Linked DNA regions of Danio rerio. The protein of the gene in region 2 purifies or fractionates together with the protein of the main gene of each other region. This does not show direct contact. Links are inferred from orthologs where the notes say so. Each region holds a gene or a part of one and is shown on either strand. Other genes may lie near its edges.

The links.
Region 1: the proteins of cdk19 (region 2) and med31 purify together in Homo sapiens (affinity purification with mass spectrometry; 6 studies listed by BioGRID and IntAct, counting the BioPlex papers as one, with this or other methods). This does not show direct contact. The link is inferred for Danio rerio from reciprocal best matches to the Homo sapiens genes CDK19 and MED31.
Region 3: the proteins of cdk19 (region 2) and med1 purify together in Homo sapiens (affinity purification with mass spectrometry; 7 studies listed by BioGRID and IntAct, counting the BioPlex papers as one, with this or other methods). This does not show direct contact. The link is inferred for Danio rerio from reciprocal best matches to the Homo sapiens genes CDK19 and MED1.
Region 4: the proteins of cdk19 (region 2) and med16 purify together in Homo sapiens (affinity purification with mass spectrometry; 6 studies listed by BioGRID and IntAct, counting the BioPlex papers as one, with this or other methods). This does not show direct contact. The link is inferred for Danio rerio from reciprocal best matches to the Homo sapiens genes CDK19 and MED16.
Region 5: the proteins of cdk19 (region 2) and med23 purify together in Homo sapiens (affinity purification with mass spectrometry; 5 studies listed by BioGRID and IntAct, counting the BioPlex papers as one, with this or other methods). This does not show direct contact. The link is inferred for Danio rerio from reciprocal best matches to the Homo sapiens genes CDK19 and MED23.
Region 6: the proteins of cdk19 (region 2) and med24 purify together in Homo sapiens (affinity purification with mass spectrometry; 6 studies listed by BioGRID and IntAct, counting the BioPlex papers as one, with this or other methods). This does not show direct contact. The link is inferred for Danio rerio from reciprocal best matches to the Homo sapiens genes CDK19 and MED24.
Region 7: the proteins of cdk19 (region 2) and med20 purify together in Homo sapiens (affinity purification with mass spectrometry; 5 studies listed by BioGRID and IntAct, counting the BioPlex papers as one, with this or other methods). This does not show direct contact. The link is inferred for Danio rerio from reciprocal best matches to the Homo sapiens genes CDK19 and MED20.

Annotation. Positions count from the first base shown.
Region 1 is NC_133196.1:43,308,448-43,312,489, reverse strand, and holds the start of med31 (mediator of RNA polymerase II transcription subunit 31), read left to right. Parts: upstream 1-1,239; 5' UTR 1,240-1,379; coding exon 1,380-1,401; intron 1,402-1,897; coding exon 1,898-1,972; intron 1,973-2,157; coding exon 2,158-2,254; intron 2,255-4,042. UniProt on the Homo sapiens protein: Component of the Mediator complex, a coactivator involved in the regulated transcription of nearly all RNA polymerase II-dependent genes.
Region 2 is NC_133195.1:3,039,684-3,043,707, forward strand, and holds the start of cdk19 (cyclin-dependent kinase 19), read right to left. Parts: upstream 2,808-4,024; 5' UTR 2,680-2,807; coding exon 2,552-2,679; intron 1-2,551. Other genes in the region: amd1 (S-adenosylmethionine decarboxylase proenzyme), read left to right, coding at 3,893-4,002.
Region 3 is NC_133187.1:16,852,305-16,856,490, forward strand, and holds the start of med1 (mediator of RNA polymerase II transcription subunit 1), read left to right. Parts: upstream 1-1,381; 5' UTR 1,382-1,542; coding exon 1,543-1,651; intron 1,652-4,186. UniProt on the Homo sapiens protein: Component of the Mediator complex, a coactivator involved in the regulated transcription of nearly all RNA polymerase II-dependent genes.
Region 4 is NC_133186.1:14,600,314-14,604,500, reverse strand, and holds the start of med16 (mediator of RNA polymerase II transcription subunit 16), read right to left. Parts: upstream 2,809-4,187; 5' UTR 2,527-2,808; coding exon 2,385-2,526; coding exon of another isoform or gene 2,343-2,384; intron 2,206-2,342; coding exon 2,098-2,205; intron 1-2,097. UniProt on the Homo sapiens protein: Component of the Mediator complex, a coactivator involved in the regulated transcription of nearly all RNA polymerase II-dependent genes.
Region 5 is NC_133195.1:2,669,492-2,673,727, forward strand, and holds the start of med23 (mediator of RNA polymerase II transcription subunit 23), read right to left. Parts: upstream 2,803-4,236; 5' UTR 2,658-2,802; coding exon 2,607-2,657; exon of another isoform or gene 2,600-2,606; coding exon of another isoform or gene 2,528-2,599; intron 1,842-2,527; coding exon 1,810-1,841; intron 693-1,809; coding exon 605-692; intron 1-604. UniProt on the Homo sapiens protein: Required for transcriptional activation subsequent to the assembly of the pre-initiation complex. Component of the Mediator complex, a coactivator involved in the regulated transcription of nearly all RNA polymerase II-dependent genes.
Region 6 is NC_133187.1:11,225,637-11,229,611, forward strand, and holds the start of med24 (mediator of RNA polymerase II transcription subunit 24), read right to left. Parts: upstream 2,801-3,975; 5' UTR 2,716-2,800; intron 2,521-2,715; 5' UTR 2,503-2,520; coding exon 2,373-2,502; intron 545-2,372; coding exon 462-544; intron 232-461; coding exon 193-231; intron 107-192; coding exon 33-106; intron 1-32. UniProt on the Homo sapiens protein: Component of the Mediator complex, a coactivator involved in the regulated transcription of nearly all RNA polymerase II-dependent genes.
Region 7 is NC_133197.1:573,957-578,131, reverse strand, and holds the start of med20 (mediator of RNA polymerase II transcription subunit 20), read right to left. Parts: upstream 2,803-4,175; 5' UTR 2,577-2,802; coding exon 2,563-2,576; intron 1,234-2,562; exon of another isoform or gene 1,075-1,233; intron 87-1,074; coding exon 1-86. UniProt on the Homo sapiens protein: Component of the Mediator complex, a coactivator involved in the regulated transcription of nearly all RNA polymerase II-dependent genes.

The DNA.
Region 1 (4,042 bases), on a different chromosome or scaffold from region 2:
TCAACATAAAGCCAGAAATATTTAACATATATACAATCAACAAACAAATGCATAAGAGTCTCAACATCCACTCCGCAAATAAACACAAATTCAGAAAGATCAACTTTTGATCATCTTTTGAGAAATTGGTTGGTTGGATATATTTTATGTATAATTTCACTTTATTAGTGACACAATACTTGTTGTTATAAGTCCAGATCAAGTTCCAATAGATATTCTCAGATTATTCCAAAAGTATTTGTGTCTAAAAGTGGCAAGATAATAAATCAAGCGTCTACAAAATTTATTATTACATTTTCTATCTTTGAAATCAACACCATGTAATTAAATCTCATTTTTAACTGTTAGTTTATTTGGTTCACTGTAACTCTGCAAAAGCCCCGCCAGGCCTTGTGGAGGCACAGGAACTAAACTTCTCAAAAAAATTCAGTAGCCTATAAGTCAGTAAATATCCTTCATCTTTTAAGCTGTGAGACCAATAGAACACCTTTTTAACCAAATTATCATGGAAAATAGATTTTTTTTTCTTATATTCCAAGTCACAAAATGTATTTTGTAGGCTACAAATATTACTACGAAAAAAAAAGGTGCAAATGCCTCATAAATACTTTTTTAAAATATTGCCTGAACTTTATTCGGCTTACTTATTTGTTTCTAAACATTTTGATATTCCGAGTAGTTGTACATTTTGTGGTGAGGATGATGAAACTTTAATACAATTATTTTGTATGTGTGAATTTGTTCAGAAATTTTGGTTTGACCTTTATCGTTATTAAACACTCCTCCTACCTTTGCACAATATTTTAGTTTAAAATAAAGTGTTTGTTATTACTCAGAATAAATCTGAAGAATTTGTTTTCAACTTTTTATCTTGTTTGGAAATATTTTATACAAATATGCATTGTTTCAGTCCCTACTTTTCGACATTTTCTCATTAAAGTTGACTCCTGCTCAAATCTTTGCGTACGTGTAACAACAACAAAAAATGTGTCAGATACTTGGCTCTACATGAAGAACTGTTGACTCTGATTTGAGTTAAATAGCTCTTAATTAATTTATTTTTATACAATTTTATACAAGTGTAATTTACTTACCCCTTACAAATGTAGTTTGTATTGTTCCTATTTTGTATCTCTCTTATATTGATCTCCTGATTGTGGTTGTAAGTTTTCATTCTTTATTATTTAAAAAAAAGGTGCAAATGTCGTGAAACACTTTTACGACAGCAGCACTGGTTTTATGGCAAAAATGGCGTCAGCGGTCTATGTCCGCATAAACAATGAGTAATGTGTTGTTTTTGGTAATCGCGCTCTAAAAAATCTTTTTATACTAATCATTTTCCAGATATTTCAGCGTCGTCTGAATTCTCGTTGTCCGTAATGGCTGGTGTTATGGAAACAGGTTTGTTAAAATTAGATTGAATTGTTATTTAGCACATCTTTGCCCACGAGATTCCTAGCAATGTGACAGTTAACGTAAATACAATTGTTTGGTAACGTATTTTAGTTTCGTTTTGATCATATTAAGTTATACAACGTTTTAGAGGTACTACACTATGTGTTATTTTCTGTACTGGCGCAGATATATGTTGTTCAAGCAATTTCTGTAACACTTAACATTAAGGTAGTATCGTCGTTAGCCAATGTTTGCTAACATGAACAAACAAGAATCGTTATATTTATTACAGTGTTTGTTCGTCTTTGTTAAAAGTATTAATGAAATAAAGTAATCTCAACTTACGGTGCATCAACTAATGTCAAGCATGAACTTGCATTTTAATTATGCACTAATACAAGTATTGTTCGTTGGTAGTTCATGAATACATTTACTAATGATTATTTGTATTATTTCTTTTCAAACACAAACATTGCTTACGCTTCTATTTGTGCTTTGACAGACGAGCAGGCGAGACAGCGCTTTCAGCTGGAGCTGGAGTTTGTTCAATGTCTGGCAAACCCAAACTACCTGAACTGTAAGAACAACGTTAACTCTTGTTTCTTTTTTACTGTTCGCTAAATTCAGTCATTACTTTAGTCATTGGTCAAATTCACTCATTGGTTGTTACATTCTGTAAATTCAAGGTAATTTTGTTACTGTGGTCGAAATATGAAGATGGATAATGATTATTAATCTTAATTTTTTCCCCCCATCCTGCAGTTCTGGCTCAGAGAGGTTACCTGAGAGAGAAGCCTTTCGTCAATTATTTAAAGTATCTGCTTTATTGGAAGGAACCAGAATATGCTAAATTTCTAAAGTAAGTAACATGTTGTTCTTGTTGAAATAGATTGTTAATTTGTCAAACATTTCTTCTTTGGATGATGAGTGCTTCTAATAAAAGCATGAAAGAAAGAAAGAAAGAAGGATATAAAATTTGTTCAATATCGTGTAGTTCTAGTGCATAATATTTATTAGTTATTTATTATTAGTTATTTATTAGTTAGTATTATTAATTATTTATTAGTTTACTAGTTATTTTGTAAAATACTATTATTCAGCTTAAAGTCCTGTTTAAAAAATTGACTAGCTCAATTAGGCTGGTCATTTGACAGCAGTTGTTTGTTTTGTAGACAGTCGAATATAAGAAGTTCTTAAGGGGGTGAAAAATATCGACCGTAACGTTTTAAGAAATTTATTCTTTTAATGCCACCAGAATAAAGAAATGAGACATTCTATATAAGTTAAAACGTAATAGTTTAGAATAGAAATATAAATATTTGTTTTGCTAAACATGACTTGGGAAAATATTTGAAAAGGAATTAAGAATTTTACAGGTGGTCTAATAATTTAGCTGTATATAGTTGTATTTAAAAATGTAAATTGAATTACAAGTTTAGTATGTGTGCCTAATCTGTATGGAACAAAATTAATGGCAAAAGTATTGAAATAAAAAGTTTGTTGATTAGCATTAACTGAAAAAAAATAATGCATTGAATAAGCAACTGCTTGCATTTTAATGACTTGAATTGCAAGAGTTTGTATTTTTAGGGCCTGAATTTTAACACGGCTGTTTATTTAAGCTGTGAATATTTCAACTAAAAATATTTTAAACATGTTTTTATACTTAAAATTTCAACAATTCATATTCAATTTCCAGATTTCATATATATATTAAAAGTTCAATTTTTAAATATATAATACTGGTGAAAAATATGAAGCATAATGTTCAAAATTTAACTTTCAGTTTGTTTACTTTTCAGTTTAAAATTTTGCTTCCAAAAATTCAGTGGTTTAAATTTGGCTCTTAAAATTCGACATTACTTCCGGGAACTGCAGGAACAGCAATAGATTGCAGATTGGCAATCTCCAGCTGCTTTTTCACTAGCAGGTGGACCAATTTAAGATTTTTAAACCATTAAATAAAGGTTTAAAAACTCCCTTTTTAAGGGAAAAAGCTAATAACAGCACAAAAGTAGCATTTAATATTGTCCTTGTTAAATTTTAACAGCCGAATTTGATCCACTAAATTAATGGAAGAGAACTTTTGAACTGAAATAAAGTGAGTTGAAAATTGTCTTTTGAATATTATACATGAAATCCGGAAATTAAGAATTATTATTTTTAAGTATAAAATAAGTATAAGAATTTTCAAGTATAAAAACGTGTTTGAAAAATTTTTAATTGAAATATTTACAGCTTAAATAAACAGCTGTGTTAAATTTCAAGACCTAAAATTACAAACTCTGGCAATCCAAGTCATTAAAATGCAAGCAGTTGTTAATTTAATATATTATTTGTTTCAGTTTGTGCTATTCAATACGTTTTTTTTTTGTTTTTGTTTTTTTTAACAATACTTTGATTTTGTTCCATAAATCTGCAGTTTACATAACCTAAACTATAAAGTTATATTATTTTATTTGTCAATATAAAGCAAAAACAGACAATATGGTGCCAAATTGTAGGTCGCTTACCATTAGTGCTGTGTGATACTGAACAGAAAAGATTTAAGCATTCTAAATAATTCAATGCAATATTTTATTAAAAATATCAAATCAATGAAATATTTCATATGATTTCAGGGAAAAGAGAACATCACTACAACTTC
Region 2 (4,024 bases):
GTTCTCCCTGCCTTCGCGTGGGTTTCCTCCGGGTGCTCCGGTTTCCCCCACAGTCCAAAGACATGTGGTACAGGTGAATTGGGTAGGCTAAATTGTCCGTAGTGTATGAGTGTGTGTGTGTGGATGTTTTCCAGAGATGGGTTGCGGCTGGAAGGGCATCCGCTGCATAAAAACTTGCTGGATAAGTTGGTGGTTCATTCCACTGTGGCAACCCTGGATTAATAAAGGGACTAAGCCGACAAGAAAATGAATGAATAAATGATAAAAGACAAAGTCTGACGCTTTCCTGAAAAAAATGCTTGCTGCAAACAAACAGCGTTGCTGTATCGGCCCGGACAGGATCAGGGGGGAAAACATGCAACAAACCCTGTGGGTCATGGAAACAAACATATACGACCTGTGTCTCACCTCTGTCATTGGGTTTCCCAGCTTGGCAGTTACTATTAGCTAAGCGTAAATCATTAAATTAGGCCTTGTCCATTTCGCCTCTTGCTTTCGTGACCGTCACCTAGCAACGGCTGTAAACAAAACAGCAGCTCGATGACGCAAGCGTACCGGGGTTCAGAAGGAAAAAACAGTGTGAACACAAACCAGCTTAAGGCTGTTTATACTTCTGCATCAAGCGCACGCGTATGCTACAGCACAGCCTACGCGCTGACGCATAGCCCAACGCCGTGGCCATCGCTGACACGCACCTCTCAAAAAATGGAACTACACATCGCAACGACATGTAGCGCAAGCTCTGGGATTGGTTAGCTTGGAATCGCTGACAAGTGTGGGCGGGACCGAGAGCTGTGCGAGGCCGATGAAGCGATTGTTTACAAGTGTGGAGTCCCGTGATGGAGCTCCGGATGAAAGGTTTTGCTTTGTGTTTACCTTCCCTAGTAGCAAAGAATTCTGGCCCAGATTTGGCATAAAGCTGGCACAGCAGGCATTCATCCGGCACTGGCATACAGCATGTGGGCCAAACATGGCCCGGGTTTGGCAGAGGCGGCACACAAGATTTGGGCCAGATGAAAAACGTAGTATTTGGCCCAGATTTAAAAATTTGATAAGTGGGCCATGTGAGTTTGGCCAGTTTTGACCCACATTTAAAATACACTAAAATCATTTTTTAGTAAAGAAAATAAATTCTACCAATCAGGTCACTTTGAGAAAAAGCGTGCCCATAGTGTGCCTAAAGCGCATCACTCCATGGGTTTATCAATTTCATTGCAATCGTGACACACCAACCTATCTGGCCCAGTTCAGGCCCAGTTATGAGTTATTAACTTGGCTGAGACTTGGCCCAGATATGGTCCGTGTTTGGCCCTTGTCTGGAAGCCAGATTTGGTCCAGTCATGTACCGTAATTCACTGCGGCATGTGGGCCAAGCAAAACCTGATTGTGTGGGCCACAGCTGGGCCAGAGAAACTTTGCTATGTGGGTTATGATTAAAGTTGTTGCATGTCCGCCGGTTCCTGCCTCAAAATAAGCGAGTTTGAGCGTTCAGAAAAAACAAAACGCCAGCGAATAAACTCAACACAGAGGAACATTAACACCTCATTGCCGACAAGCTTTTCGGAAGTGTTATTGCAGAACATCAGAAATAGCGCGCAGAAGTATGAATGCACGGCTACGCGCGTTGCATGCGCCGTGGGTCACGCCGATCACTTGACGCAGAAGTATAAACCAGGCTGTACTCTCGTACTTATCAGGGGTTGCAGCAGCGGAATGAACCACCACAGAAAATAATATCACACAGATATTTAAAAAATTGGAGATGCGGTGGCGCAGTAGGTTGTGCTACTTACTGCATCGCCACCACATTTTCATCTTTTCACAAAGAAACTTTAGTCCTGTTTCGAATCTGCTGCTATGCTTTAAATTTAAAGTGACAGTAACCAAAACAGCATGATTTGGATCAAAGCCTAAAAGGGTCCATTTCAGAGAGATATAAAACATTATCTGTGTGGTATTTTGAGCTGAAACTTCACACACACACTCTAGAGACATAAGAGACTTATTTTACATCTTGTGTAAAGTGTCATAAGAGGACCCCTTTATTGAGCACACATTGACTCCTGTATAAATAAGAGCACACACACACACACACACACTGCAAGCACGTGAACTCGATCACAGATGCTCCATAAACTCCAGCACGCAAGAGCTTGTGCACTTATGAAGAAGTGGGCAGCTGTTATACTGCGTAAATGAGTATGTCAACTCGTGCACAGGTGAGCCTCTGAATTCCAGCACATGTAAACATGACATCTTCTCATCCGAGCACACAAACTCACAGTGGACTTCAAACGCATGCAACTTCTGGACAGAGGAACTGATTTGCAGTGAACTCCTGCACACAAGAGTGAAACATGCATCACGCTGGCTGGTTTGGGGGTGGACCGTTTGAAGTGCGTCCATGAAAACAAAAACAATCACACACACACACACGCAGGCTACAGAAAACAGCGCAATTCCCCCGACACATATGAAGCTCCTGCACACCCAGAGACAGCAGAAGCGCGTGCAGTGAGTGAAACGCGTCAATCAAACGCGTGTCTCTTACCCGTCTTTACGCTTCGCTTTATAAACATGCCCGTATGTGCCGCGACCCACTTTACAACCTTCATATTCAAACAGATCTTCCACTCTCTCCCTCTCGGCGGCGAGCTTCGTTTTGAAGTCGTAGTCCATTTTAACCCATAAATATTTCTTAATTTACAAGAAAATAAAATATTAATTATTACATGCATTAATTAAATGATCCGATCGTTTTTATTACCCCACCATTTCCTTGTTTGGGATTTTGGTCGGCTCCGCTTAACGGTCACGTGCTCGGTGACGTATTTTATTGTGGCGGGTTGCATTGTGGGGAGCGTAGTGCCGTTTGATGGAGCGCCAGCTCGAGTTGACGGCGGCAGGACATCTGAAAAACTACAGCGAACAAATCCTCCTTTCGTCTTTCCACTCTGATTCAAAACTAACATTTCTGAACGTTAGCGCTTGGAGTGTTTGCACAATGGCAGAAAAAAAGCTTATAATAACTAAACATAATTAATAAAATGTGTGGAATACATAACCTAACAGTTTTTTTCTTTTTCAAAGAGAGTGCTAGATAAATGGGAGTCAATTATTTGTGCAGTGGCTCAGCGTTATTCACCTTATTCTCAGCTGACGAGCGGGCGCTGCCATTTGAATCTTTTTGTCTCGCGACTTCCGGTCACATTCACTTCCATTCATTTTTTGACGTTAACAACTGCACGTTACGCTGCTTGATGTTGCAATTTAATATTTTCTTATTATATTATGCTACTTGGTCTGTGTAGTCATGCAAACATTTGTTTGTTGAGCAAGTAGTTTGGCCATTTTCTGTCGTTTATTATTCCTAGTCATTTCTCCCATAGGCGACTGAATCGGAAGTTCTAAGACAATCGCGAAAACAGGCGCACTTCCGCATTTTAGAATAAGGTCAATAGCAACGCAAATGTTTGCTCATCTATACAAGGACACACACTCACACACGCGCTACTACAGCGTGAACTCATACTTTTACGCAACATCCCGCTTGACTGATATCCGTTCAACCAATCGCTGTAGACCTGAGGGTGGCTCCCTCGCCGCGATTGGCAACGACGAGAATGACGTCGTCGGGTAGGTAATAAAAGCTCCGCGCAGACTGCCGTTCTGCGCTTACACAGTATGGCCGGCGATATTAGCTAGCACTCGCCTACGGTATTCTCTGTAAAAGGGAAGACGGTAAATACAAACAAAAAAATAAGGCAACTACATCTGGACTGCTCAAGGACTGTAACTAAGCTATTAAGTTATAACCGCCAACGAAGGACTACATAATTTGTGATTCCATCCGACGGTTTATTTTCTGTTGTTGGAGTCTGTTTGTCTCACGATGGAAGAGAGCAGTGCACACTTCTTCGAGGGGACCGAGAAGCTCCTGGAGGTGTGGTTCTCCCGGCAGGACGAAGCCAAAGGAACCGGGGATCTGCGCACAATCCCTAGGTGAGTGAGTCCGTCCGAGCCG
Region 3 (4,186 bases), on a different chromosome or scaffold from region 2:
GATAAGCTTACCAATTCCTTATTATCCAATTTGTCATGGCAGTTTTCATTTTAAGGCATTGTTTTTTCTCTTCTTGTTTTCTATTTTGCGCTCCACGCCTCTTTACTCTTCTCTCCATTTTGAACATGTGACTGTAACCGAGCAACAGATCAATTAATTGGTCAACGAAGAGGGAGGGGTGGTATATTTTTTATTCAATAAAATAAAATTTGAATAATTGTATAATTCAAATTAAATAATTCATATTGGTAGAAGTACACAATGTTGTCACAACATTGTGATTAATAACTGGCAATGTCACAGTTTTATTGTTGCAACGTTTCAGTTGTCACAATGTAATTAGTTACATTGTCACAATAAAACTGTTGCACTTACATTACTACCACGTATTTACTCCACCAGCATCACGTTGTGACCTGTTCACCTTTTTTTGCAGAAAAAATGGCTCAAAATCCTGTGCAAGACTTGTATCTGTCATTTTCCAGATAAATTGATGCTGTATTGACCACAAAAGAATGACCTACATCATGAATTACTGTGGTCTAAAACCAGGCGTTTCAGTTTCATTGTCCAACCCCTGTAAATAAAAAAAAAACTGATAAAAAAAAAAAATAATAAATGTCTGTGTGTGTGTGTGTGTGTGTGTGTGTGTATATGTATATATATATATATATATATATATATATATATATATATATATATATATATATATATATATATATATATATATATATATATGAAGTCTCCACTTCACTTCCTAATCTGCAATTGCCTCTCTGGATATCACACTAACTGTACCCCAAAAAAAAAAAAATACTAATACTTTCCTTCTTAGACTTTACAGACCTGAAACTTGCCTATAGCACTTATTCATTGTTGCTCTTATAGTTGTGTAAGTTGCTTCCTTGTCCTCATTTGTAAGTCGCTTTGGATAAAAGCGTCTGCTAAATGACTAAATGTAAATGTAATATATACACCATAGTGTTTGTGTGTGTGTATGTTATCAGTCGCATTGAAAAATATACAATCAAAAGTTATTATGAGAATAAAACCCACAAATAACCTGAAGGGAACATCATGGGAAGGTTCTCTTTAGTTTATGAAAATAAGACCCACAAATAATCTCCAGAAAATGTAATATAATAATAAATAATAAGGGAACGTTCTGGGAAGATTTTGGTTAGGTTTTGGTTGCCAAAAAAAACTACAGATAACGTTCCCCGAAAAATAACCAAACGGGATGTTCCATATGGGAAAGTAAGAATGTTATCTGCTACACTACAGCAAAGAGCATCTAAGCTCTTTGGGTACAGCCTATTGCCAGGTGGCGATATATAGACAAAATGCATTGTGGAAAAAGCGAAGAAGAAGATCACGTGACGTCATTTCAGTTTCTCGATCCAGTAGTCTGTTGTTAGGCATTTTCGCCTGGTTATTGCGCTTTGTTCGCGGTCTATTTTAACGAGGGCTGATTTTATTGTGACCGCGTCTTAGTATAATGTTTTAGCTCTTTCTGCTTTACCGTTGTCGGGTCACTGTTGGATGCAAATTCGGAAGATGGCGGCGGTGCAAAGCAGCAGTCCGGTCGCAGACTCGTCCCAGGGAGGCACAGCCGCGGGCTCCGAGCGTCCCCGAGCCGAGGATGGATCTGGTAACGTTACAAGCACATACTTCCTGTTTACTTAAAGTTTATTTGTGTCAGCTAGAATCTACAAAATGCTTTAATTATTTTTTAGAAATGACCCATAGATTTCCCTTTTACGGATTGTGCACGATTTCCGAGTCGTCCGTCAGATATCTCGAGTGTTTTTGGGATGTTTTGGCGAAGGTTAGCATCAATGTTGAAAAGTAAATATTTATTGTAACGTTACATTAATTAAATTTCTCATAATCAGAAAAAATAAAGGGATTGCTGTTCATTTTTGGTTATTTAGTTAGAATGAATAAAGGGTGGTTGGGACTTTTTTAAATTTCTACCATGCTTTTTTGCCATGACTTAAAAATATCAGCCCAATACATGATACATTTATGTAATACTTACTTACTTGCCTGTCCGTTTATGGAGGAAAGGAAACATAGTTATTTGTTAAGAATAGGAGGAGTGCTATAGTCTTTATTATAAACTAAGCCAAAACCGAAAGTTTTGGTGATTAAGACAAAAATCTATTTATTAAGGCTGGTGTCTGTTAATGCGTGTTAAGCATGATGCAGTTTATTAAATATTAGCCTACATATGAATTTTATTTATTTATTATAAAACAGAAAATGTGTTATTTCTTAATGCAAAAATGCATGCAAACATTAGTCTGTTATTAGACAATGTTGTCAATAATGAAATGTCATCGTTAATGGCATTTGGTGATCATCAGATATTATTGCTTGTCATTAGGTACCAATTGACGGATGTCCGTAATTGGGAAGAGCTCTGAAAGCTTTACTTGAGGTCAGGAAGCGCATGAAATGCCAAATTTAGGTAGGCTACAGAATTCTGACCTCAACCGGGACATTGGGAAGCTGCAAGCAGGCCTGAGGCAGACACAGGAGTTGTAGAGCCAGTGAGAACATATCAAAGTGTAATTTTCAGAGCTTGGAACATGTTCAGAAGGATTGGTGGAGTGAGTAGAATGCATGGTGGAGGCAGACAATGGGTAACAACACCAAATTATAACCAATACCTTTCCCTGCGAGGGAATCAGTCTGCAATCAGTCTGCAAAATGACCTACAGCAGGGGTCTGTAACATTTTTTCAGCAAGGAGCCATTGTTTGTTTTTTATTTATCAAATACATTTTTTAAAGAGCAATTGGGGGTGTGTGTATATAACAACATCTTTACTTATTTAAGGACAATTTATAGAATGAAAAAAAAATCAGTATGCCATTGCCACTTGTGAATGAATTGGTGTTGCGATTCAAGTTAAGCCACAGCACCACACATGCTCATTAGAAACATCCTTTTATTGTAACCTGAGTTCTTATTTTGCTTTAAAAAATACAGTATAAAGGGAATTATAATTGTATTTTCAATATGAAACTGGTTTCTAATAACAGTTATGATTTTTAAACTTTAAAATATTATTGAAAGAAGACAGCTGGAGAAAGCTACATATTTTTGGTCAAAAAGCCACATGTGGCTCCTGACCCATAGGTTCCCTACCCCTGACCTACAGGATGCAACAGGAGTGTTAGTATCCAACCAGACAAGCCCAAGGTATAGGAATGAAATTCTGAGGCCAGTTGTCAAACTTTATTCTGGTGCAATGTGGCCGGATTTTGTTTTTATGGATGACAATGCCCTCCACGTTGAGCAGTGTTAGTGATGGAATACTTGGAGGAGCCATCCTTTAACAGATTATTCAAAACATATGAGAGGTGGTAACACTGATTACTGACTAGTTGTTCAGTTCTTGTACATGACTTGTTTGTCATATTTGCAAACATGCAATTTATGTTTGTTTGACAGTATGAAGTCAAATTTTGTTCTGCTGTAACAAGTATTTACATCTCAAATACATAAATTGAAAAGTTTTCTTTTCTGTTTTGGAGCTTTGCTAGTTTAAGCTCTGACGTTTCATGCAAAGCTACTACGGTACGGGATCCAGGAGGGATGCAACGGTTCTCTTTAAAAAATCGTACCGTCCTGTTGTCCTCCCATGGTTCAGTGCGCCCTGTGATCTGCAGTTCAGAATATGCATTTTTAATATTAGTTTAGTGTTTAAAAACAACTGCAACAAAACAAAAAAAAATCTGCCTTTACCTATGACATGCGCTGGACATGGGAGGACATGTCTCAATCACCTCTTAAAAATCTGTAAGTCTGTTGTTGACATTACGTCTTCTGACGTGTCTGTGTGTTTGAGTTTCTGAGAGTTCAGCAAAAGTGCAGGTGAGACCAAAACACAGCACATTGCTGTCAGTGTTTCAATAGACACTCAATGTAAATTCAGACAGATAATAATAACAAATGCTTAATCTTTTTGTTTATTTTTTGTTGATCACTAAAGGGCTTATCGAGGTCTGTCTCCAGACCCAGAAGTGTCCCGTACAGACCCAGACATACAGCAGGCCTGTTACTTCAGCTGAGTGTTTAGCATCCGATCGCTCCTGCTATTTATTAATTTGTTTACCCGCTGTCTGCTAAGAAAAGTTTACTTTTCAATTAACTGTTTTCTGCTAAAAAAATATTTA
Region 4 (4,187 bases), on a different chromosome or scaffold from region 2:
ATCATCCTTCTTTCATTTTGCTTTTTTGGCAAAATATGTCTGTGGGCACATGTAGTTGCACATGTTACTGTCTCACGAATAAGCAAATATGTGTTGCACATTTATGCAGCCAAACTTAAATAAAATAAAAACAATACATTTTTAATCATTTAACTGATACCAATAATAGATTAAAATGCACCTTTTAAGACAGGGATGCCCAAACTCTATCCTGGAGGGCCGGTGTCCTGCAAAGTTTAGTTCCAACCCAATCAGACACACCTGGGCTATCTAATCAAGCTTTTTAAAGGCTTTCTATAAACATCTATGCAGGTGTGTTGAGGCAAGTTGGAGCTAAAATCTAGTGGTGGGCAAAGCGAGGCTTCATGAAACACTGAAACAAACAGTCGAAGCAAATGTGTCGAAGCTTCGAAATGTTTTGAAACCCCACTCTACGGTGACCACCTAGTGGTCATTTTTATGTATTGCACTGAAACAGCTTCAGCAAGAACATTTTAGCAAATTGAGGTATTACACCCCACTTTGTAAAAGTATCTATTCAAGAGATTTAGTGGAGCGGTTAAGGTTTCTGACTTCCATGTGGGGATATTGAGTTTGAATCCAGGCTGATACGGCTTTTTTGAAATGCTTTAATACCAGTTGGTAATGCTTTGTTCTTGTTTCGTTTTGTTTCAACATTGGTCTGACATCCGAATAAACACTTTGTAAATAAATATGTCTTGTTTTGGTATTAAAACAGAGTTGTTGCTAGATCAGACACAGTTGTGGCCAGAAGGTATCAAGAATTATTTATATTATTTATTAAATTTCCCATTTATTGTATTTCATTAACGTCTATCCAAACCCTAAACCCAACCATCACAGTACTGTAAAAATATTTATTATTGTTTTAGTGTTACAAAAATGATGCTATATTGATGGCGTATCCTCAGCTTTAATCTATTTAGGCTACACCATAAAACAGAAACATGATTAAAATACATAAAACCATGATTTAGGTGTATTTGTACAAGTCGGGATTCAAACCCAAAAGTCATTGGAAGTATAAAAACAGCGTGTACAGGCACAGTCCACCAGGCCATATGAGACAGATTTTGAAACTGACGCCGGCAGTTACATCCAGATTCGCAAGGTCTCGAAACACTTCTTAACTGATTGTTGCTTTGAATCATTTTAGTCACGTGTCCAGGTGTTTTGAAACACTTTAGTCACGTGAATTGGGTGTTTCGGATCATGCTTCGGTGCAGTGTTTCGAAACACTTGTGCTTCGGGATCTCGAAACTGTGTCGAAACGTCAGTTTCACGTCAGCCATCCCTACTAAAATCTGCAGGACACCGGCTCTCCAGAACTGAGTTTGGGCACCCCTGCTTTAAGTTAACGGGTTAATCAGTTATTAGGAGTATCCCTAAAACTGATTTTATAAACAACTTAATTAATAAATGTTTTATGAATATTAAATAAAAATGAATATACCTTTTTTATTATTATTTTTCTTCATACTTTGATTTGGCTTTTTTGCTTCATATTAAATTTAGCAATTGTATTATTTGCACTACTGTTTTCATTTGTTATAATATAAAGTATAATTTTTTTATTTGCCTTTTTGATTTACTTTTATTTTAATAAATTATATATATTTTTTCTGTTCTGTTACTTGCTAAAGCAACATTTGTAATTTTCATTTAATACAAGTTTTTTCTTTATTATCAGATTTTTTAAATAGTTTTAGTATTTGATAATGGTAAAAACCCTGATTTGGAAAAGTATTTAGGTTTTACATTGAAACGCGTCTCTCTTCAAATGTTTTTAACACTCTAAAATGATTCAAATGTCAATTATAAAATAATTATATTATTACAAAAAATCTATAATAAAAATAAATATTATATTAGATTTTATTATTCTGTATCTAATCTGTACTGATTTAAGACCATCGCAGTACATTAATCGAGTAAAATTAGGCTTACCCTTACAATACTGAGACTACCCACCTAAAATAAATGGAAACTTTACTTCTAAAAAAAACTTGTCAAATATGATCTGCACATATTGCCAAATGTTTAGCCCATTTCATCTTTATCATCATGATGACTGACCAGACTGATCCCATTCTAGGCAGGAAATTATCTCATTGTGACCAGAATTGATGGAGTACACATCCCAGGGGTGATCAGTGTCAATGATGTGTATCATATGACTGAGATCTGCAACAGAAAAAAAAAACATGATTGTTGTTGCTGATATAATGCTTGATCATAAATAAACACCATTGTTCTATGTATTTTGGATCCAAAACGAATTGAAAATGTATGTTGTTTCTTGTCCTCCATTCATAACTCACCAACAGGAGTGGTAATATTGGTAATAAAGGCATTGTCCAGACCTTTGTCATCCTCCTCATTCTTCAGGTCAGTGGTGAAAGCGATGAGGTTTCTACATGACCAGGCGCACACCAGAGGGATTGAAGGACAGTGGTTGCTCTTGGGTCTCTTCTCCCACTCGCAAACATATGCGATATCCATCATATAATGAAGGAAACTTACTGTTTACAGCACAGATGCCCCAAATGAACACCTTTGAATGTGTTCACAATCACTACGGGAGACAACAAAAGCAAACACCGCTACTGTACAGAAACAGAAGAAAATGATGGGTATGGCAGACTCAAAACTACATGCTCCTGCTAATAAGTCCGAACATAAATTAATTTGTTAATAATATAAATTGTTCTGGCGTTTCAAATCTATTCTAATTCAGCAAATAGCACTTTGAAGCTGCACATCACATCATTGAGCGCCTGTATTCGTCGACTCTTTCCGGATTCAAAGACTCATCTAATACTTACCACCCCCTATTGGGCTGGAGCTCCGATCTATTTCTGTATTTGTCTATCTACGTTACTTTTGAAGCATAAAAGCGTTAACAAAAATGTTTACTCATGCATGGTTATGCATTATTTATTAACAAAAGGCTTTTTTGTTCCTATGCTTTTATGTATGTATGTATGTATGTATGTATGTATGTATGTATGTATGTATGTATGTATGTATGTATGTATGTATGTATGTATCTATGTATGTATGTATGTATGTATGTATGTACGCTATTTATATATTATTTTTCTCTTTTTTTATATAAACGTTTTATTTTTGTTTATACATTTTTATAATTTAATTTATATGTTTAAGTTAACCTTTTAAGTCTCTCTCTCTGTGTGTGTGTGTGTGTGTATGTGTGTGTGTGTGTGTGTGCGTGCGTGCGTGCGTGCGTGCGTGCGTGTGTGTGTGTGTGTGTGTGTCTCAGAAAGGGTTTGACGTACAGAGCTAATAATGTGCCAAAACAATCACAATTTGAATTGTATTCATTTGAATTATTAACAATTTTAATTTTAAAAATCAGATTTTTTTATGACATTAAAAATCTTTTAAATTTGATTTTCTTCATTTGAATTTGAATTTCATAACTTGAGTATTGAACATCTGAAATGCAAGAACTTTTCAAGCCTGATTTGTTTGTGTTCTGAGTTCATAGACTGTAGATATTAAGTTTGTGAAAATACAGTTTCAAATTTTCAAGATGAAGAAATTTAGAACATCCAAATCAATATCATAAAATTCAAAACCAGAAATTCAGATTGTGAAATTCAGGGCTGGAAATATATATATATATATATATATATATATATATATATATATATATATATATATATATATATATATATATATATATATATATATATCTATATATATATATATATATATATATATATATATATATATATATATATATATATATATATATATATATATATATGGTCTAAATAACGAATGTGAATGAACAATTCAGTGACAAAGAGAGATTTAGCGCCACCCATTGGACATTTTGATTTCAATGCATTTCAGTCAAAAAATAGCCTACTGTAATATTTTAACACAAAAAATCAAACGTTTGAGAATATGTCTATAAAAAATTCCGCCTTGAAAAATTCAGTTGTCTTACATTTCAATATTCAAGTTAGAAAATTCAAACTAAGAAATTCAAAACAATTTTTAACGGCATATAAAAATTCAGATTTATTAAATTACAATTGTCTAATTCAAATTAACACAATTCAAATTTAGATTGTTTTGCTTATTATTATTTCCATAATACGCACATCAAATGAAAACATGGCAATATTTACAGC
Region 5 (4,236 bases), about 370 kb from region 2:
TGAAATCTTGCAACACTTATACTTCTTTTATAAAGCAGCTTTATGCAATATTGTGATACACAAAGCAAACATGGACCCTTGTGAAGCTGTTTTCCAAAGGGAGATTTAACAAACAACACCTTGAAAAATATGTACATGAAATAATGCAAACATAAGTAAACAAATGCTAAATGCAGGATCAAAAAATTGCAACCTTAGTTTTTTTTAGCTCATTTTATCAAAACTCTTTTGTTTTTACCAATAATGTTGGTCACTATAAACACTTTGGGCTCTATCCTAATGATCTAGGCACAAAGTCTAAAGCGCAGGGCACAAAAGCATTAAGGGCGTGTCCGAATGTCTGTCTATCTATTTATCCGTGGGTGTGCGTGTGTGTTTGTGCAACAGAATGTGTGTGTGTGTGTGTGTGTGTGTGCGCGTTCATATGGGTATGCGTGTGTGTGTGTGAGTGCAAGTGTGTGCATATGAGCAACTGTGAGCAAGTCTGTGTGTGTGTGCACGCGAGATTAAAAGTGTGCATATGAACAAGTGTATGAGAGATTCTGAGTGTGTGAGTGGGTGCATGTGTGAGTGTGTGTGTGTGTGTGTGTGTGTTGATTCTGACCTGCGGCAGGGTACTCCAGAACTGCCTAAAGGCTCCTAAACAGCTTGTGAGTTTGGTCTTCTCATCCTCAGGGCTGTCCATGAACATGCTGCGCACACACACACACATATGCATAATTTAGGTATCCATTATCACTTATAAGTGTGCATTTTAGGGCTGCACAATATCTCGCAAAAGTATCGTTCTCCTGATGATTATATATTTAATATACAAATCATAGACGTGTCATAAATTACATTTATATGATGCATTGGTTGTTTATGTAAATTTGACCAATCAGATGGGGCCTTACTATCTTTAGTCCCGCCTCCCCAGTAGTTGTTGTTCTGCTATTGGCTAAAAGCTGAACCCAGAGCTAAAACTGAATACTAGTGGGTGGAGTAGAGTCAAGAGAGGAAAGTAACAACAGCCTGTCAGGTGATCTTCGCAGGTTTCCACTTCTTCATTGGGCTCTTTTTTAATGATCTAGGTGCAAAGTCTAAAGCTCATGGCACAAAAGCATTAAGGGCATGTCTGAATCCACTTACGCACTGCGCCGCGGCGCACAGTCTAACAAGGTTAAGCTTATTCTCTTAATGAGTTCTGAGTGTGTTTTGAGCATAACGTGTAATAAACCTATCAGAGTCTCTTCTCTCATTCCCTTTAAGAGTCAGTTGCGTCGTGTTATGGTGGATTTGCTATTTACATGGCGGACTTTGTAAGAGGAAAAACTGAACACTACACTAGCGAGAAAACAGTTAAACAGAGCATCTGCAGCGAGAGGATAAAGAACGAGCCTCCTCCATTCGGCCTCTTTACTTTCTCTTTACTTTTACTCCTTTACTTTGGTGGAGGAATCTCACTCCACTGAACACATCCATTAGCCCACTACATCCATTAGCCCACTACATTTAGTCTGTTTAGCACAAAGATGTGTTTCAAAACTATTTCTAAATTCAGTTCTAATCTCCAGCAAAGGAATAAATGAACAATAATAACCAAGTGTGGTCAGAAAACCAGTTATATCAAGCACACGTACTGTTCTTATGCCCCATATGGTGATGCAGACGTCTCCAAAACCACACAGATTGACACGTCTACACTAGTTTTTATTACACAAATATAAATATGCAGATAATAAATAATAATTAATATTTAACATTCCAGTATCGTGCAGCCCTTGTGCGTTTTCGCTCTATAATATGGTGTTTTATTAGTCTACTCACCCAGCAAACGCCTCCTCGATCACCTCCGTTTTCTGACGTAAACAAAACAGTTGAAAGTTAAAATGTGTACATTAGTCTGACATCAGTTAGCCGTTATACATGAGACTGTGCTGTGTACAGCTTAGCTAGTGAGGTAAAGTTATTTTATATTCACACATTCGCTCAGTGAGAACTTCTGACATGCTCCCTGTGTTGTTTACCATGGTGATTTGAATATTCGGTCTGAAATAGCTTGCAAGTATGACCTGAAAACAACATTAGCACTATTTAATTGACTGTGAACAGCGTTGTGCTTTGATAGTCATTGGCTGCCAATATGATTTCGCTATTTAAAGTTTGCAAATTATACTTTTCGGAAATAATATATATATTTTTTAAAAGTCCAAATGTGCGAATATAAAATCAACTTTACCCTAATGGTGCGGTTATCACTTTGAGATTGAGAAATTTAGGTAAATTTGGTTTTATATTCGGACATTCAGACTTTCTCCTTAATAATATAATTTTAGAAAAGTATTATTTGTAAACTCTAAATAGTGAAATCATATTAGCAGCCAATAACTATCAAAGTACAACACTGTTCACAGTCAATTAAATAGTGCTAATGTTGTTTTAAGTCATTTAAATCTGATTTCAGACCCTATATTCAAATTAACACAGTAGATAATATATAGGGAATGTTAAATGAAGGAATGTGCGAATATAAAACCAACTTTACCTCAATGATTGAGATGTGACTGCTGCTGTTGTTGTTACTGTGATGAATGGATGAGAAGTGTGTGTGCTGCATCACCCACCACTACATCCTCAAAGATGCTCTGCAGCTGAGTCTCCATCGGGACCGCCATCACGAGCACACACCTTCACGCACACTCATACGTCCATGTCTGAAATGAAAGTGTGCGCTGTAGTTTTTAATTAACGCTGAATGAGGCTCTGATGAACACAACAGAAGAGCAGCGCCAGAACTGAAACACCAGAAGCTTGAGCGTCGCTGAAAACATTCCGGCAGGAACACACACTCACAACACCATGGTTCCGACATTGTCGAACAATCTGTTTAAAAGATTTTCTTGTCTTGCTCTCTGGCATGTGGTATATTGTAATTTAGTTACATGTGTTTATAATAATAATAATAATAATAATAATAATGTTTTCAGCCATCAGCCTTCCTGAATTTTTTGCCCCCTCCCCCCACTTTGAGGACTTTGCAAAGACACAGGACACATCTAAAAAAACTCCAGACAATATATTAACATGAGAGACATGCAAACTTTTCCATGATAGATATACATTTTCAATGACACATCTTATATTTAAACTTTGCGTCTCATATAATTGAACTACATGTATTGTATTTCAATACATCAATACATTATCGAAGACTAGTTTAGGGCTGAAATTGAATGTTTATTTAACAATATTAAGACCGTTTACACCAAGCAAGCACCATTTGTGTAGTTTTAGTTTTACTTTTTGCACTACGCCCATGTAACCAGCAGATGTCCTCAGTGTGCTGCGGTTAGTCTGTCTATCTAACCAATCAGTCAATCCGTTAAGTTAAAAGCAGAAGTTTACATACGCTGTATAAAAAGGCCCACAACCATTTCAGATGTTAATGTGACTAAAGTTTTTGTAGAATAGTATTTAAGGAAAAGCTCAAACACACTGCTTCCTTGAGTGACAACATGGGAAAATCAACAAGCCAGAATCAACAAGAAAGCCAGATTACAATTTGCTAAATTACACTGGGAAAAAGACTCATGTTTGGAGACATGTCCTGTGCTCTGATGGAGCTGAGATTGAACTGTTTGGCCATAATGACCAGTGTTACATTTGGAGGATAAAGGGGAAAGCTTACAAGCCTAGGAACACCATCCCAACTGTGAAGTATGGGGCGGCAGCATCATGTTGTGGGGCTGTTTTGCTGCAGGAGGGACTGGTCCACTTTACGGCATAGATGGCATCATGAAGAAAGAACATTATGTGGAAATACTGAAGCAACATCTCAGGGCATCAGCCAGGAAATTAAAACTTGGCCACAAATGGCTCTTCCAAACAGACCATGACCCTCAGCATCCTGCTAAATGAGTTCAAATGTGCTTTAAGGACAACAGAATGGATGTTTTGGAGTGGCCATCACAAAGCCCTGACCTCAATCCTATAGAAAATTTGTGGACAGAGTTAAAGCTTGTCTGCATCCGCTGCATAACACATATGCTGGAATAGTTGGCGGTTCATTCGGCTGTGGTGACCCCTGATAAATTAGAGACTAAGCTGAAGGAAAATGAACGAATGAACTGTACTTTTACTTAGATGTCTGTATTTCCCTCATTAAATCATATCTGAAATCGTTAAACTTTGTCACTGTCCTGCAAACCATTATTTATACATCTGACAGTGAGAATGAAAGACAATCGCATGTAG
Region 6 (3,975 bases), on a different chromosome or scaffold from region 2:
GTGGACAGATGTGATCAACTGACAGACGGTACCTTAGTCGGTTGGAGAACATGTCCATAATCTCAAGCAATGATTTGACACATAGCTCCCGTGAAAAATCATCAAACTGTGGATGAGCAAATAAAAATATTTTACATAAATAGCGCCTATTAAAAAATACAAATAATAATAAATATAAAAAAATACACCAACCTTGCTGATTGCCGTTAACACACTAGAATACGACACCATCTACAGGTTTGAGAGAAAATATGTTATAGAAAAATGTTGTTTTTTGTGGAAGCTGTCATCTTGAATTTATACTGCCACCTAGTGGTGCACATGCAGTAGCACACAAACATTATTTTTGTTGGCAAATATGGAAATTAATAAAGAGGTATTCTACTCATTAAATTCAGCTGCCATAATGCAGCTCTTGCTATATGAAAAAAAAAGGCTACGGGTATGACTTGTGTGTTTACCTGTGAACTGATGGCATACTTCAGATAGGACAGGATCAGGGGGTTGGGAGATGGGCCAATCATAGCCTGCTCCAGAAGAGCTTCTGTATTGAGGAAAGAGTAATTACACCTTTACAACTATACAGCTATTACACAGCACTTTCAACGATACTCTCAAAAGGGGAGGTTTGCACCCCTGTTGTGGACGAAAAAAGGACAATTATTTTAAAAATAAATAATTAAAATATCATGCAACCATTTACTGAACGTATCCATTTACAAAATTGTGAATTTAGGACATTTTTAATCAAAGGTTTGGAATATTAAAGATTGTGTGTTTTTTAAAAGAAGTCTTTTATGCACACTAAGGCAGTTTTTTAAAGAGTCATATAACAATATTATATTCAGTGGTGTAAAGTAACAAATTATAAATACTCAAATGACTGTAACTGAGTAGTTCTTCACAAGAATTGTAATTTACTAAGCAGTTTTAAAGATGTGTGCTTTTTACTTTCCTTTGAGTACATTTTTAGTGCAGTATCAGTACTTTTACTCCACTATTTTCCTTTAACCTACAGTCACTACTTTATTTGTTCCTTCTCTATGGGTATTGGCTAAAATAACTAATAATAGTTTTGCATCATATTGAACAACCTCAGGAAATGTTTGGAAAGTGTCCAAGAAGATGCCTAAACTCTTTACACGGAATGACTGTTTAGACTGCATGTCACTGATAAGAAGATGGCAGATGTTTACTGTATGATGACTGAAATCGACAAATGAATAGCTCAGATGCAAAAACCTGTAAATGTTCTCTGAAATGTTCTCCTAAAATAAGCATTTTTGTCAGCCTCCTATGTTTATGTTCAGTTATTTCACTTGAAAGGCAATGAAAAGAACTTATTCGTCACCATAGAAGTAAAATGACTGAGCCTACAGAAAGGAGAAAAATGCTAATTTTAGAAGAAAATATCAAATAACTTTTAGAGGTTTTTGCATCTGAAGTCTTCAAATAGTCTTAAACAATTGACTAAATGCACTATAGAATGTTACGTTTACACACACCTGCACAAATTGCATTCACACTGTAATACTCACTACTCGGGTACTTTTTACTCATACTTTGAGTTATATTTACAACAGATATTTTTACTCTACTTGCACTACATTTTGGGCAAGTAATGGTACTTTTACTTGAGTATCTTTTTTCTGTACTCTTTTCACCACTGATTAGATTACAGCAATTAACAGAAAATGTTTTCATTTACATTTTACAAATGTAAACTTTTGCTGTAATTAATTTTCGGCTGCCATTATTCCAGTCTTTAGTGTCACATGATCCTTCAGAAATCTTTTTGGTGTTTATTTTTAGGCTATCTATTTATATCTATATCTAATTGTACTATCAACTGTAAATTTTTGTTTGCTTTTACTTTTATTTTTCATTTTACTCTAAACTACTTTAAGACCATCTACCATGGTTCCCACAGAAAATGTGAAACAGCAAAAACAAAAATAAATTTAAGCATCGATGACTATGTTACAATAATTTATTTAGAATCATGTGACCCTGAACAGTTATTTACAAAACAACTCTCTCACAGGAATAACAAAGAATTCGGCTTTTGTTTTTATAAATAAAACCAGCAAACAGTTCTTGCAAGTTGCAATATTTTGCATTGCTGTATTCAGATTAAATACATGGAGCCTTATACAAAAAAAGAAAGAAAGAAAGAAAGAAAGAAAGAAAGAAAGAAAGAAAGAAAGAAAGAAAGAAAGAAAGAAAGAAAGAAAGAAAGAAGTAGACTCTTTTAAAAACAAACCACTGGCATGTACAATAGCGGACAAAATGGAGTGAAGGCGCTCAGACGGCAGTTAAAGAAAGGCTGTATATAGTCACACTAGTCATTTGTAAGGTGACGTAAATATGACCTGCTAGATTGAGATAATCCCATGTAGCTCCTTTGGGACAGTTCTTCTTAATGTTAATGGCCCACTGATAATCACTCCAACGTTCCTTCCACGCCTGTAGGATGGCCTGTTTCAGATTCACCACCTTCATATTGGCAGATCCTTAAGACTGTAGACAGTATAATAAGTATTTGTAATGTACAAATCACATCCCAGTGTATGACAGGAGAACGTCACATCTCAGCTGTAACGTTACTAATTTCTCATAAAACAAACATATTTCGCGTATAAAATGCACAAATCAAATGGACAAATAATATAGAAGGCCAATTTATGATTTGCTATTTTTAAAAATATCACTTACCACAAAATATTTCAAAATTTGTAATAAATGAATCAGGTTTTTGTTCATTTACAATTCTCTGCACTCCGAGCCGCCATGTTGGTCTGCAAGATCACGTCCTTTGATTGGCTGAGAGTATCTGTTTGTTGAAGTAAAGGTCAATGCGATTGGGTGGTGTGATGTCGCGTCCTCTGATTCGCCGATAGATTGTAGCGAACTTTTGATTCGGGAATATGAGTAACACTGGAAATGAAAGTACAATGTAACAGTTTTCACTATCACATAACAGCAATAGTACGTTAATGTAATGTGTTTACCATACTTTTATTTCATGGAAATAGCTGAAAACCCTTGAGCAAGGCATCAAAAATATTATTAGGCTATGATTTGTAGGGCTGTATTGCAGAATTGACTTAGAATTGCCTTTTTGAATTAGAAAAATAAATTTATGGTTTATCAGTTTTAAACAACAGATGTCTTACCAGTTTAATACGGTTTTGACAGAAAGAAGTGACATACAAAGCTTGCGGTTAGCTTCAGATTCAGTTTGATAATGATTCTCAGCATGGTCTGAGAAGAAATAATTGGTGGAAAATTATGGAGATCAAACAAAAACCTACAGTTAAATACCACAGTTTATGTAAAATAACTATGATGAATACATATTATATAAGGTAAAATTAAGCACAAAATCAACAATTTGTCATAATTTGGAATATTTCATTACATATCACCTGCTTATGCACTCAAACTGTACAAAAACTATTATTAGATTAAGAATTTTTGTCTTACTTTGTTCTCTCCTGCGTGCCTGATTTGTTGGAATGTTCACTATCTGAAATATTTTATTCATCTATCTATCTATCTATCTATCTATCTATCTATCTATCTATCTATCTATCTATCTATCTATCTATCTATCTATCTATCTATCTATCTATCTATCTATCTATCTATCTATCTATCTATCTATCTATCTATCTATCTATCTATCTATCTATCTATCTATCTATCTATCTATCTATCTATCTATCTATCTATCTATCTATCTATCTACCTACCTACCTACCTACCTACCTACCTACCTACCTACCTACCTACCTACCAATAGCTTCAACCAAACTTTTCCTGTAGTTGCAGATCAGACTTGCACAACTTGTCTGAAGAGATTTTGGATCATTCCTCTTTACAAAACTGTTCAGTTCAGCAATATTCTTGAGATGTCTGGTGTGAATCGCTCTCTTGAGGTCATGCCACAGCATCTCAATCAGGTTGAGTTCA
Region 7 (4,175 bases), on a different chromosome or scaffold from region 2:
CGGCTCCCAGCTGCTCCAGCTTCCTGTGGAGAAGATCCACCGTCTGCTGGACGCTCTTACCCTCGGCCACTGGCACCTGACAAACACTGACACAAACACACACACATTTGAGACGTTTAATTTATTTACAATTAAAAACAGTTTCAAAATGGTAGTTTACTAAAGCAAGATCATTCTGATCAGTGTAAACATCAATAAAAATAAATAATAAAAATAATTGTGCGAGTCTGTGTGTGCATATGTGTAATGTCTGTCTATCTAGCTATATAGATAGATTGATATACTTGAGTAATTCACCTATGAAAACCAAACCCCAGGGGTCCGTTCTTCGTACATGCATTACTCAGTTATTATATAACGGATTTGGTTATTGACGATTTGACATGTTCCAGGATCGTTACGCTCTTCAAAACTCATCTGAGAGCTGTTGTCCTATCAATAGTTCTGGTAGCTCAAACCTGCTGGGGAGCAGCAGCTTGTTTCATATAAACAGGATAAGATCGGTTCAGTTCAAGCAAAGATAATACTGAAACTATGTAACGAATTCTGATCTTTTATTACAGTAGTTATATAGTTATATACACTTGGGAAAATAGTAAATATATTTTTTAACTATATATATATATATATAAGTTAAAATATATATAAATAAAACTTATGCAATCTGCACTCCGAAATAAAAGTACAAATACTGCCACCTGGTGGATCAAAGAGAAAATTAATGCAACCTTTTTTTATAAAGGAATAATACATTCATGCAGGTATTCGGTAATATGACTGGGATTTAATGCCTTCAAAAAAGTTGCAGACATCTTTACCAATAGTAAAATGCTTTTGTGATGCAAAATTAATTTAAACATCCTGTTAATCTTTATACCAATTAAGAAACCGGCTACTATAATACTAATATGGCGACTGTAATAAGGAAAATCTGCTCTAACAATAAAATAAATTGCTGAATACTCTTGACACATGAATGTGTAAAAAAGCCTGCAGCTCACAACAAACATGGGAAGTTATTGTGTGTCATATTTAACAAACCGTTTACTAAGAATTTTAAATAATTTTGCTCACATGGAGAATTGAATATTGATCAGATGATGTCATTGCGCTGCTGTGCCGTCAGCCAATCGCTGCATTGCTGATCATGATTTTGGGGATGGATAAATCTGCCCTTCACAACACACGCTGATCTCAGATGTGCATCCAGACATTTTAATCTAATTCACGAACCTGTTTGAGGAACCAAATTAGCCAGAGATCAGTTATCAAGATGAACAGATCAAGGATCTGCCAAATCATCAAGATCATTTAAGCAACGTACGGACCCCAGCTCAGCATTTCTGTTTGTTGTCAAAACTGACAGCTGGAGGGGCGTGGTTATGAATGTTAGCCCCGCCCATTGCCTAAAACCAATAGTATCTGGATGCAGCCTTTGTGATGCAAGCTGAGATTGCATCTCTTAGTGATGCAATGTCGGACACAATTGAGCTAGTGAGGTCACTTTGAGGGGTGGGGTTAGGTGAGCACATTAAAGCTGCAGTCACACTAGAGCTTGCGTGTGCGAAAGTCCGCCGTACGGCGCTGCGAAAAGGGGCGGGATTAAACAAGATGATTAGGCATTAATAAAGCGAGTGATTGCTGCATGTGTTTCATTTCTGTCCAGAGAGCTCATGTTGATCCTCGATTGGTCTCCCGCAGTCAAGTGATGTGATTTCGCAGGTCCGACTTCACCAAGGTTGAACTTTGCACTGAAGTGACCTGCGAAACTTGACGCATGACCCTGCGTTTCCAGTCTGACGCATTCGCGTGTATGAATGAAGTCTATGGTGAGAAAAGCCCAGTGTAAGCACAGCTTAAAGTATTGGATGCAGCTCAGATTGCATCTGCACCAGGTCTGCAGCCAGACCCCTCTCTCAAAAACACACCATCTGATAATTTAACTGAAAACAAACAGGAAGAGCATTTTCAGATTTCAATTAAAGATTAGAAGGGCAAACTATTACATTTTCTCAATAATATGCACAGATGAATTATTCACCACAGAACTAGCACTGTGAGCTAACAACAACAACAAGGCTAGTTTTCATTTCATGGGCACTTTAATAAATTTTAAGACCCCGCGGACTCCCTGAACACTACTTAAATGAGTGCTTGTAAACTACAAAACTTGTTAAATGTTTTTTTATATGTTTGCAGTAAATGAAGCTGATAATCTTACACTTTTTTTTATACAAAACTTCGGGAAAACCTCGTCAAATATCCTTATATTTCATCTTAAATGTTAGTTTGAATGAACACGTGCACCTGATAATAATAACAGGCCTTCATTGTGTTCTACACAACACTAATAACAGTTTTGTAAAGTACTTTTAAGAGTGACATGTGATGTAAACATGTATAAAGCAATAAATAGACTGATGAATGAGGAGCAAAAGCCTCTCTGTGCATTCAAACAGCGCTGAACGGGAGCATCAGGAGCACCAGAGAGACTCAAAACAAGCACAACTGAAAATATTAATTATTTGAGGACAATACTTTATAAACAAAAGTGTTTCTCACCACGTTACACCCATTTCTTCGAGACAAACTTCCGCAAGCCGGGGTATTTACTTCCGGATCACTCGAGTTTGCGTGAAACACGCGAAATCAGTAAAAGTAAAACACTTAAATTCGATAAAATAAAAATATTAACAATCATTAAATTCATGTAATATAAAAACATTAGCCGCGCTAAAAATGAACAGAGCCGAGATCTGCCGAGCCTCGAGCGGAAGTAAACAGTGTGACGCAGCGCCGCTCTGGGATCAGTAGTTCTGCGCGCTCCAAAACAGCGCTCATCTCTCCAACTGCTCTCAGAGCAGCACTACAGACATATATCTATGTATACACACACACTCTCAGCGCCATTGCTCTCAGACCCACGTGTGTGCAGCTCTCCGCGGCGCGTCATGTGTTCAGACGCGATTTCACACTCATAATTCCTCAGACAGACAGGCAGATAATACTAATATTGATAACCGTCATCATGCCGAAGGTGAAGAAGGCCTGGAGCGGCGGCGCGGTGCCCCTGGCCGAGCAGATCCTCCAGCGGGACTCAGTGCGCTGCAGCGGCCGGCAGAAGCAGCGCGGCCGCGGGCAGGAGGAGCAGCAGGAGTTCGTGGATGAGAAGCTGAGCCGGAGGATCCTGGAGCAGGCCCGCAGACAGCAGGAGGAGCTGCAGGACACAGCCGAGGAGGAGCGCAGGACACCGGCGACCAGACTGGGTGAATGCTGCACTCACTGACTCTCTCTCTGTCTGTGTCTGTCCTGTTTTACCAACTGTCTGTCTGTCTCTCATCTGACTGACTGTGTGTCTGTCTCTCTGTCTGTTTATTTGTGTATCTATATGTCTGTCTATCAAACTATCCGTCAATCTGTCTGTCTGTTCCTCCATCTTTCTATCCATCTGTCTATGCCTCCATCTGTCTCCGTTCGTCTGTTTCTGTCTATCCATCTTTCTGTCCATCTGTCTATCTCTCTGTCTGTCCTTCCATCTTTGTCGGTTTGTCTATCCCTTCCTCTGTCTTCATCCGTCTGTCCATCTGTCTATCAATTTTTCTGTTTGTCTGGTCTGTCAAATCCTGTGTCTGTCCATCACTTCATCTCTCTCTTTCTAGCCATCTGTCTATCCATCTTTCTGTCCTTCTGTCTATCCCTTCATCTGTCTATCCCTCTGTCTATCCATCTTTCTGTCCTTCTGTCTATCCCTTCATCTGTCTATCCCTCTGTCTATCCATCTTTCTGTTCGTCTGTCTATCCCTCCATCTGTATATCCATTTTTGTGTCCGTCTATCCCTCCATCTGTTTATTTCTCTATTTTTCTGTCTTTTTGCCCATCTGTCTATCCCTCCATTTGTCTGTCCATCTGTCTAACCCTCTGTTTGTCTATCCCTCCATCTGTCTGTCTTTCTATCCCTCTGTCTATCAATCTTTCTGTCCTCCTTCTTTCTATCTCTCTGTCTGTCTTTCCATTTTTGTCGGTTTGTCTATCCCTTCCTCTGTCTTCATCCGTCTGTCCATCTTTCTGTCTATCTTTCCATCTTTGTCCATTTTTCTATCAATTTTTCTGTTCGTCTGGTCTGTCTAATCCTGTGTTTGTCCATCCCTTCATCTCTCTCTTTCTAGCCATCTGT